2 linked regions of the Arabidopsis thaliana genome follow. The protein of the gene in region 1 interacts with the protein of each later gene in a pairwise test. Each region holds a gene or a part of one and is shown on either strand. Other genes may lie near its edges.

Region 1 (4,878 bases):
TCTTTTTCCTTTGGATACGGTTACGATTAAGTCTACATGAAACCCGGTGTCATCTGTCTGTTTTTATTTTATTTTGCTTTAGTTTGAGACATAGATTTGAGTATTTGTGTGTTACGTAATATGCATGTGATATTAGGGTTCTTGGTTTGGTAGGGGATTTTTGCTACTAAATAAGTAACCTTAAGAAAAAAAGGAGGTTTAATTATGCTCACTAACAAAAACTTCTCTTTGTCCGAGGGATGTATTTGTCGGAGAGCATTTTGTGGCTCGAGTAAACCCCTATTTATCTTAGTGATTAGTAGTAAGTATGATTTCAATCTTAATTAGGGTTTTCTTCTTAATAAAGATGGTTTCTCTCTTTAAAATTTTGTGAAGCACGTGAATTTTCTGTTTCTCTCATGTATTTGTATTAGAAGAGAAAATTGGTGTGCTTCACTTCATTATTGTACGATAATCCTCAATTAAAGACTCTTCCTATTATATTGTCTCTCTTTTCATTACATATAATAGCTTTCGATCTTCTTGTTGTTACAAGGATTCACGCTTTTGTGTTTTGCATGAATAAACGTACTACTCAAACGTATTAAACTTGCGTGTGGGATTAACTTTTTCGATCGACACGTCAATCTGAATGATTTTGGTTTATATTGATGTGAGAATATCGTCCAAATATACCATATATATATTTCAATATGTGTGACAACACAAATCTAAAAATTGTAAAGAGTACTCTTACCATTGGGAAAGTGTTGCATCTTCACTGCCCAATCTGAAGCAAAATCTTTGGGACTTGGACAAAACGACACTCTTGCCAACAAGCTTCTTCGCTTGAACAACAATAACTACATGACAAAACTCTTGATGGTATATATGTATATTCAATGGTAAACTTGTACCAAAGGGATCTTGAATTCTTTTGGTAAGAATGGAATGGCCCTGGGACTGTTTTCCAGGTCTCGATACAATCTATACTCTGCTTCATAGTCATGAAGCTTCAGCTCTGCTTTCTGATTAGTATGGTAATGGTGCTTGGTTGAATTCAACTTCCCAAACCCGAAGACACTAACTTTCTCACAAATCCCCACTGCAAGCATCACAGCCTGCATACCCGACGAATAGTGAAACAACGAGCCTTCATGATCTTTACTCCAATCGACAAACCCTTTCGCTTTCTTCTCTTCCAAGAACTTCTTCACCGAGTAATACTTCACGATTCTAGCACACATGACATCGAACCTCGGATCCGTGATAAGCAGAGGAGCTCGATGAGATGGTTTACACAAAGTGTAATCCAAAACATGAATCGGTTGGCAAATGTACATCACAATAGGCACTGTTTCACCATAAGGATGACAATAGCAACTCTCCCTTCTCCCACATTGATGCAAAATGTTACTATTTATGAAAGATATATTTGTTTTCGATCCAACCTTCTTCTCAAACCTCTCTGTTTTCGCATTGTTCAACCGAATCACAATCTCATGCTTATCAATGAGATCTCCGTATTGACTATTTAGCAATGTACCACTATTCCCAACCACTGCACAAGATAAGTATCTTTCACTCGAAATCGAAACAACACCATTGTGAACATCAATCGGATTCTTAACTAATCTGATCAAATCTAACATGATATTAGGTTCATAAGCTCTTCTACGAGCCCAAAGCCGTAAATTTCTTTTGAACTCTGACCAGTAACGATAAGCCTGAGAAGAACGAAGCGTTACCGGAAACTTGGAGGAGGAAGCAATGTCTCTACTCACACGGCGTTGTTGCTCGCTTGGTCTTATTGACATGGAGCTGAAATGTCGACGGTGGCTTCTCCGAGTGTGGTCGTAATCGGAAATCAAATCGACTTCCTGTTTGAAGTTAGGTTCTCCGGGATCAATGGCGGCGAACTCGAGCAATGTCTCGTTGAATACAATATCTTCAGTCATGAGACCGGAGGAACCAAGCTCAGCGATGGCGGAAGCGAAGGAGAAGCTGCTCCGACGAATCGCCACTCTGCAGATGAGTGTAGCGGCGAAGAAGGCGAAGAGAAGAGCACTGAAGAGAGGTCTAACGGATCGTTTCATCGACGCCGCCGTGATAGATGAGAAAGAAAGAAAGTCGGAAGCTTTTAAACCCCCAATAATTGACGGCGCGGGTCGGATTTTGAAGTCGGATCCATTAACGGGTCTAATGGTAAAGGAGAGAACTTTGAGAAATCTGTATTCAAAATCTTCACAGGAGCTTTAGAAAACTCATGATTCTAAATTAGCAAGGAAGTTAAAACATAAAAAAATGTAAAATTGAAGTCAAAAAGAAGGAGACGACATTGACATTGTTGGTTTCTTGGTTAGGGAAAGAAAGTTTTCAAATGAAGTTAAAGGAAGGTGGTGAGTGAGAGAGATATGGGGAGGTCCTTAAATGGAGGAGATCTGAAGAAAGACGAAAGATCCAATTCAATAAACTAATCATTCTTTACTTCTCTCTCTCTCTTTCTTTTTCTGGAGGTGCAAGCCATGATCTTAATTGCGCTATAGAAAGAAAGATTAAAGAAGAAAGAGTGGGTTCATAAATCATATACAAAGAGGTTATTTTGGGAAACCATTATCTGGTTCGGGTATTACTCTCTCTAGCCGTACGTAGAGAGACTTGTCAATTAGGTTCTATGTCTGCGTCTTTTGCCTAACCCTATTGGAGTCGTTGGACACACAAAATTTAAGCCCATTAAATGAACCTTTTAAACCCATTTTTGGTCCGGTATTAAAACCAGCGAGTATTCTCCTTGTCATTCATCAAAACAGTTAGAAACTCAGACGCCTGGACGTCTTTGTGTTCTACACACAAACACTCTGTTGTTTCTATTTTCAAACGTCAAAAAAAAATCAAAATTTTCCTTTCTCTCTGTTAGCCTCACCGACTTCAAAACTCTCTGCTTTCCCTTAAATTTCTGATCATGGATCAACCACGCTTCTCCTAGGGTTTCTTTAATCATCTGATTTTTTTCGATAAATTATTCAATTTTATGATTGAAGGAATTTATTTCTATAAACCCTAAAAAAAATATGTACAGTAATTTCAAAGAACAAGCGATCGAGTACGTTAGACAAGCGGTAAAGAGGACAATGCTGGTAACTACAACAAAGCTTTTCCTTTGTACATGAACGCGCTTGAATACTTCAAAATCTATCTCAAATATGAGAAGAACCCTAGGATCAGAGATGCCATCACCGACAAGTTCTACGAGTATCTCCGTCGTGCTGAGGAAATTCGTGCGGTATTAGTTGAAGTTGGATCGGGGAAAGGATCGAATGGCGACGCAGCGGTTGCTACGAAGCCTAAGACTAAGCCCAAAGACGGAGGAGATGGAGAAGAATCAAAGCTTCGAGCTGGGTTAAACTCTGCTATTATAAGGGAAAAGCCTAACGTTAAGTGGACAGTTGTTGCTGGGCTTGAAAGTGCCAAACAAGCTTTAAAGGAAGCTGTGATTTTGCCTGTGAATTTTCCACAGTTCTTCACCGGTAAATATTTGAGAGCTTGAAAAAGGTTGTAAACCTATGCACAAATCAATTAACCTATAAACGATGTCTTTCTCTATTGTTTTGTTAATAGCTAGGGCCATATATGATCCAAGAGATGTATTCTTCTAACAGTCTAAACTTCTGGCGCTTTGCTATATCCATGAATATCTCCATCCTCTTGCTGAACTCTGACCCACTCTCCTTGCATCTAAAGGAACCAGAACACTCACACTGCTCTGTCAAATGAGCCGCTTTCACCTGATTGCACCTAATGCACACTACATCCTGCATATGGTACATTCTTTCTCTCTGTCTCACCATCTCTAGAAGGCTACTCTCCATCTGCTCTCTGTCATATATCTTCCCACATTGTGTATCCGCACATGACCATTCTTTCTCTGTTAACAGTGCTGGGTCTCTGCATATATCTAGGTCTCTGTAGGCATCACAGTTGCTGCAACAAGAAAAACAGTACAATCAAAACTCAGTGTATACATTTCCAGCTGTCTTACTGCTTACTACTGCAAAAAAGTCAAGTATTTATTGTCTAGGATTTAGGGGTCTAAGTTTTCTTTTCTTTAGTGTTGCAAGTTTGATATTGCTGTGTAGATTTGATGTGATGATCACCACAAGGGTGAACCAGGATGTCTCTAAAGGAGGGGATTCGCAGGGATTTATGTTTGTGGCCAAAAGACAACTCGATTTCGGAAAACAATTTCTCTATTACTAGACGTAGCCAATCACAAGAATGCTTATTTAAATCACGAGCATTTGTTTTGGTCAAATAATACCTGCAAGCTACATTAGGTAAGATGAAGGATGGCCCAGGATCAAGAAATTCGGCTTCAGCAGCACACTCTTTTACTTTAATGTACTTCAACAGACTCTTTCTCATTACCTATAGAAAAGAGATTAAATCAGCAAGATTGTAGGTCTAGAGGACAAAAATTGAGAAGACTATCGTTAAAACCCATTCAAAAAAAAATCCAGCTCTATTGGTAAACATGGTTTCAAGAACCACATTTCCAGAGATAAGATTGGATTTGTGAATGAAATCAGTTATAAAGAGGGTTTTTAACTGTAAAGATAAACAACGCTTCAGTGGACTTTTCATATTCAAGATTAATCTATTCAGAAGACTTGTGAATACGCCATATGTTAAAATGAAAAAGAATGGGAGTAATTACCAGAACATCTTGCTGGACGTTTTGGTCAAGAGCCAGAACAGCAGAGATAACCTGTATAAATTCCAACGAGTAATCTCCTTTGGGAGCTTGACCAGAAACCCGAGATGCATCTGAAACATTTATCTCCTTCATGTGTGACATGATATCATCAACCTTTTTGACAAGCATATTTATGAAGGTTGATC
Region 2 (4,258 bases), on another chromosome or scaffold:
CCTCTTGGAACATCTCTCGATCGAGAAACTCTTGAAAGCCTTGTCAGCTTCATCAACGACAAGCAAATTCACTTAGTATGCGACGAAATATACGCAGCAACGGTTTTTGCGGAACCGGGATTCATCAGTGTTGCAGAGATCATCCAAGAGATGTATTATGTTAACCGTGATCTGATTCATATCGTCTACAGTCTTTCAAAGGACATGGGTCTTCCCGGTTTCCGGGTTGGAGTGGTTTACTCTTACAACGATGTTGTTGTGTCCTGCGCAAGGAGGATGTCGAGTTTTGGATTGGTCTCGTCGCAGACACAAAGTTTTCTAGCTGCTATGTTGTCTGATCAGAGTTTTGTCGATAACTTTCTTGTTGAGGTTTCGAAAAGAGTAGCGAAGAGACACCATATGTTCACGGAAGGGCTTGAAGAGATGGGGATTTCTTGCTTGAGAAGCAACGCGGGTTTATTCGTTTTGATGGATTTGAGGCATATGCTTAAGGATCAGACATTTGATTCCGAAATGGCGCTTTGGCGAGTTATTATCAATAAGGTCAAGATTAATGTCTCTCCTGGCTCGTCGTTTCACTGCTCTGAGCCTGGTTGGTTCCGAGTCTGCTTTGCTAATATGGACGAAGACACACTCCAAATTGCACTTGAACGAATCAAAGACTTTGTGGTTGGAGACAGAGCCAACAAGAACAAGAACTGTAACTGCATTTGCAACAACAAAAGGGAGAACAAGAAACGTAAGAGTTTTCAAAAGAATCTCAAGCTGAGTTTATCTTCGATGAGGTACGAGGAACATGTTAGGTCACCAAAGTTGATGTCTCCTCATTCACCATTGCTTCGAGCTTAAAATTTGTTATGATTATACTCAAATAGATTGCGTATATATCAATATAACAAAATAATTTGTATAAATTAAATAGATTGTGTATATTTCAATATAACAAATATATTACATGATTCAATAAACAGGTTCAAATTGAAACTAGAGAAACTATCTAACTATCAAATATAAAAAAATTCCAAACAAGGATGAAGTTTAAATGTTGCATATGTTTTGCTCGTTTTTTTTTGTTGCTTATTTTCAATCAAAATTTACAAAATTGAAATATTACTTTGGACTTCTGATATCTTTGGATTGATCATGTGTAAATGCCAAAATTTAAATTGTTTTAATTTTAGTTAATTACAAATGATAAATTTTAAAAACATGTCAAAACCTAATCAGAAAGATCTGATTAGTTTTTTTTTTCCTCTGATTTTTGTTTTACTAGATATAAAGATTGTCATTTGTCAATCACATAAATATAAAGATACTCTTTTATTAGGCCAAATTAGAATATAAATATAAATATTATGATTTGCTTCTTTTTCTTATGTTGTGTTAACTTAAATTTGTACCATTTATCAAATAAAAAAATATTATCTTTGTTTTAAAAAGAAAGTATCTCTTATTGCTAGAAAATTTTAAAAATGTAAATTTGAATTATATTTTTAGGCCAAATTTTTAATTATCTTTATATGTCATATAAATAATATTTATTAACTTTAGATTAATGATTTTGTCCCAAAATATCCATATATTAATGAATAAATCCAGATGTGATTATTGATCAAATAACTACTGTAGGCAGAAGAAGATTTGCCAAAATTATGTCTTCCCTAATTTATATCAATCACATCACGGGATACTTATATATTTATTACGATGTCCTCTCTCAATAATACAGTAATACCTATATAAAAAAAAAAAACTTGTGGTACATTTCTCGTCTACCTACATCGATACATTTTGTTGTGATTTCTTGACTTCGGAAGGTATAGTTCTCGTTCATTATTGAACTGTGATTTTGCTTTCGAATTTTCTTGGACATCAATGTTCATATAAACGACAGTTTATCAAACAAATCGAAATTCTGATGACTTCTTTTTTTTATTTCTCAGAATCTTTTCAAGATGATCTCAAAACAAGGGATTACAGCGCAATGTTTCTTCCGGCCAAAGAAATTTTTCAGGATGTTGTTTCCAAAGAAAAATTTATTATTGAACAACTTTGAGTCATCATTAACCGAGAGATTGAAGAAACTCATACCTCAAAATACAGATGAGATTCTCACCTTACCTTGGATGATTCTAGCTATGGAATTACTTTATGATACACATAATGATATAAACATTCTCATCACTGATCTCAAGCTTCATTATATGACTGATTCGGAGCATGGATATTGGTTTGAGAATTACATGAACATAAATACAAAATTGCTCGATCTGTGTAACGCTTTTATGTCCTTGCTTCGTCACATGAACCATGGCATTGTTTGCTTAAAGTTCCTTAGGCATAAATTAGAAATGAAATCTGAGGATCTATGCACTGAGATTTGTTCCGCACTTGATAGTTGGAGGGAAAATATCACCGCGGAAATATCGAAATGCCGCGAAGTTCTTGGGAGATATGTTGAATCATTAAACTTTCATAAAGTCAAGAATTGTATAAAAGAAGCAAAGGTTCTTATGAAGGCGTTTTATGGGGCTAATGTTCTTACGGCTTATATCTGCAGTGTCTTTGTGATAGTTTTGTCGAATTCCGACAAAGATATTTTGCCTATATATGTCTGGAAGCAATCATTGTGGAAAAAAGATTTCTTGGATTTGCAGACTATCGTAAACGTCAAAACAAGAGTTAATATTTCCACTGATGGAACAATGGTACTCCAAGAGTTAGAATCTGTTGCTGCCAAAATGAAGAAGATGTATCTTACAATTCAAGAAGGTGATGATCTTGTTCAAGAGTCCTTTAAGGAATCTATTGAGGAATGCAAAGAAGAAGTCGAGAAACTGGAACATGGGTTAGATGAAATCTTCAGGAAAATTGGCAACTTGTCTGATGTAACCTTTAAAGGACGTGAAATCATTCGTGACGGTTTATTTGATTCAATGATTAGGGAGTTAACTCATGGACCATACATATATGATTAAATCTCATTTTTTCTTTATCTTTAGACAATGCCTCTAATACTATATGTATACATTAAATCCATTTGGAACTATTTTGAAACAAATAAATTGAACTCATGACCCTATATGATCTTCTTTTCGATTGTACAATATGACTTTGGATATATAAGATTTTCAATTTTACCCATTTTCTCTCAGTGTTGTAATCTCTTTATGTACTGAACAATAAAACCCTTCGTACTGGTACAGTGGTACATTAATAACTTAATAATGAACACTTACACTAGTATCTTCTGATCTCATTTTCAATGAATGGTAATATAGTTTTCTTCATTTTGTATTTATGTTCATATATATAATTCTCAAACCAATATTCCTGCTCCGAATTAGTCATATCATGAAGCTTGAGATCAGTGATGATAATGTTTATATCATTATGTGTATCATAACGTAATTCCATAGCAAGAATCATCCAAGGTAAGGTGAGAATCTCATCTTTATTTTGAGGTATGAGTTTCTTCAACCTCTCGGTTAATGATGAACACGAAGTGGAGGAGTTGAATCCAAAGCAAAAGGCCACAACGTGTTGACAATACTTATACTACTGCTTGCAGCAGAAGCTCACAAGATGTTACACCGCATCCAACTTCTGCTTGTAGCGGAAGGTCACGTCACGATAATAGAGGCAGTCGAAGGTTAGACGACATTGAAATGGTTTTGTTGCCAATAGGCGGTCTTCCAACTTCTGTGCGTAGCTGAAGTAAGTGCAACATTAACTCTTTTTTATTTTGGTTGATTTCATTGTTTTCGTTAGCAGAAAAACCAGAGCTTAGAGTGTTGGCTTAGCATTGATCTGTGTTTGCATCATAGATTGTACGTGTTTCTTCTTTCTGTTGCTGCCTTTGGACACAACACAGTCTTTAGAGACCCATTAAAATGAGATTTGATCAACTCTGTTGCAGGAAAAGGTTCAACATTTCCATTTTCCTCCATGACATGAGAAAGAGAGGCATATAGAACAATCCAAGAGAAAACTTCTAAAGAGTCTGGTCTGATTCAGTTTCTTTATGAACAAGTAATCATTGTCTCAGCTTCTCTGTTTCATCTCCCAATCTCACATGGATTTGTTCACTTTCTATCGATAACTTATACTTCTTCTCACAGATTGGTTAACCAAAATCACAGATAATCCCTGCAGAGAAATTTTCGTAAATATGAAATTAGGTCAAAGAAAAAGACTACAACTTTGCTAACTCATTTGATAACTACAAGTCTTAAGCTCAACATTATCAATCTCCAAC

What was found.
Region 2: the proteins of AT1G08280 (region 1) and AT3G61500 interact in a protein complementation assay, tested with the Arabidopsis thaliana proteins (one large-scale study listed by BioGRID).

The regions. Positions count from the first base shown.
Region 1 is NC_003070.9:2,605,605-2,610,482, reverse strand, and holds AT1G08280 (Glycosyltransferase family 29 (sialyltransferase) family protein), read right to left. Parts: upstream 2,607-4,878; 5' UTR 2,076-2,606; coding exon 879-2,075; 3' UTR 512-878; downstream 1-511. Other genes in the region: AT1G08270 (vacuolar protein sorting-associated protein), read left to right, coding at 3,146-3,506, 3,598-3,635; TIL1 (DNA polymerase epsilon catalytic subunit), read right to left, coding at 3,591-3,960, 4,298-4,404, 4,694-4,878. UniProt on the Arabidopsis thaliana protein: Galactosyltransferase involved in the biosynthesis of type II arabinogalactan. Possesses galactosyltransferase (GalT) activity in vitro, transferring galactose from UDP-galactose to a mixture of various oligosaccharides derived from arabinogalactan proteins.
Region 2 is NC_003074.8:22,760,086-22,764,343, reverse strand, and holds AT3G61500 (BPS1-like protein), read left to right. Parts: upstream 1-1,955; coding exon 1,956-2,480; intron 2,481-2,560; coding exon 2,561-2,663; intron 2,664-2,769; coding exon 2,770-2,947; intron 2,948-3,571; coding exon 3,572-3,716; downstream 3,717-4,258. Other genes in the region: ACS1 (ACC synthase 1), read left to right, coding at 1-849; AT3G61490 (Pectin lyase-like superfamily protein), read right to left, coding at 4,207-4,258.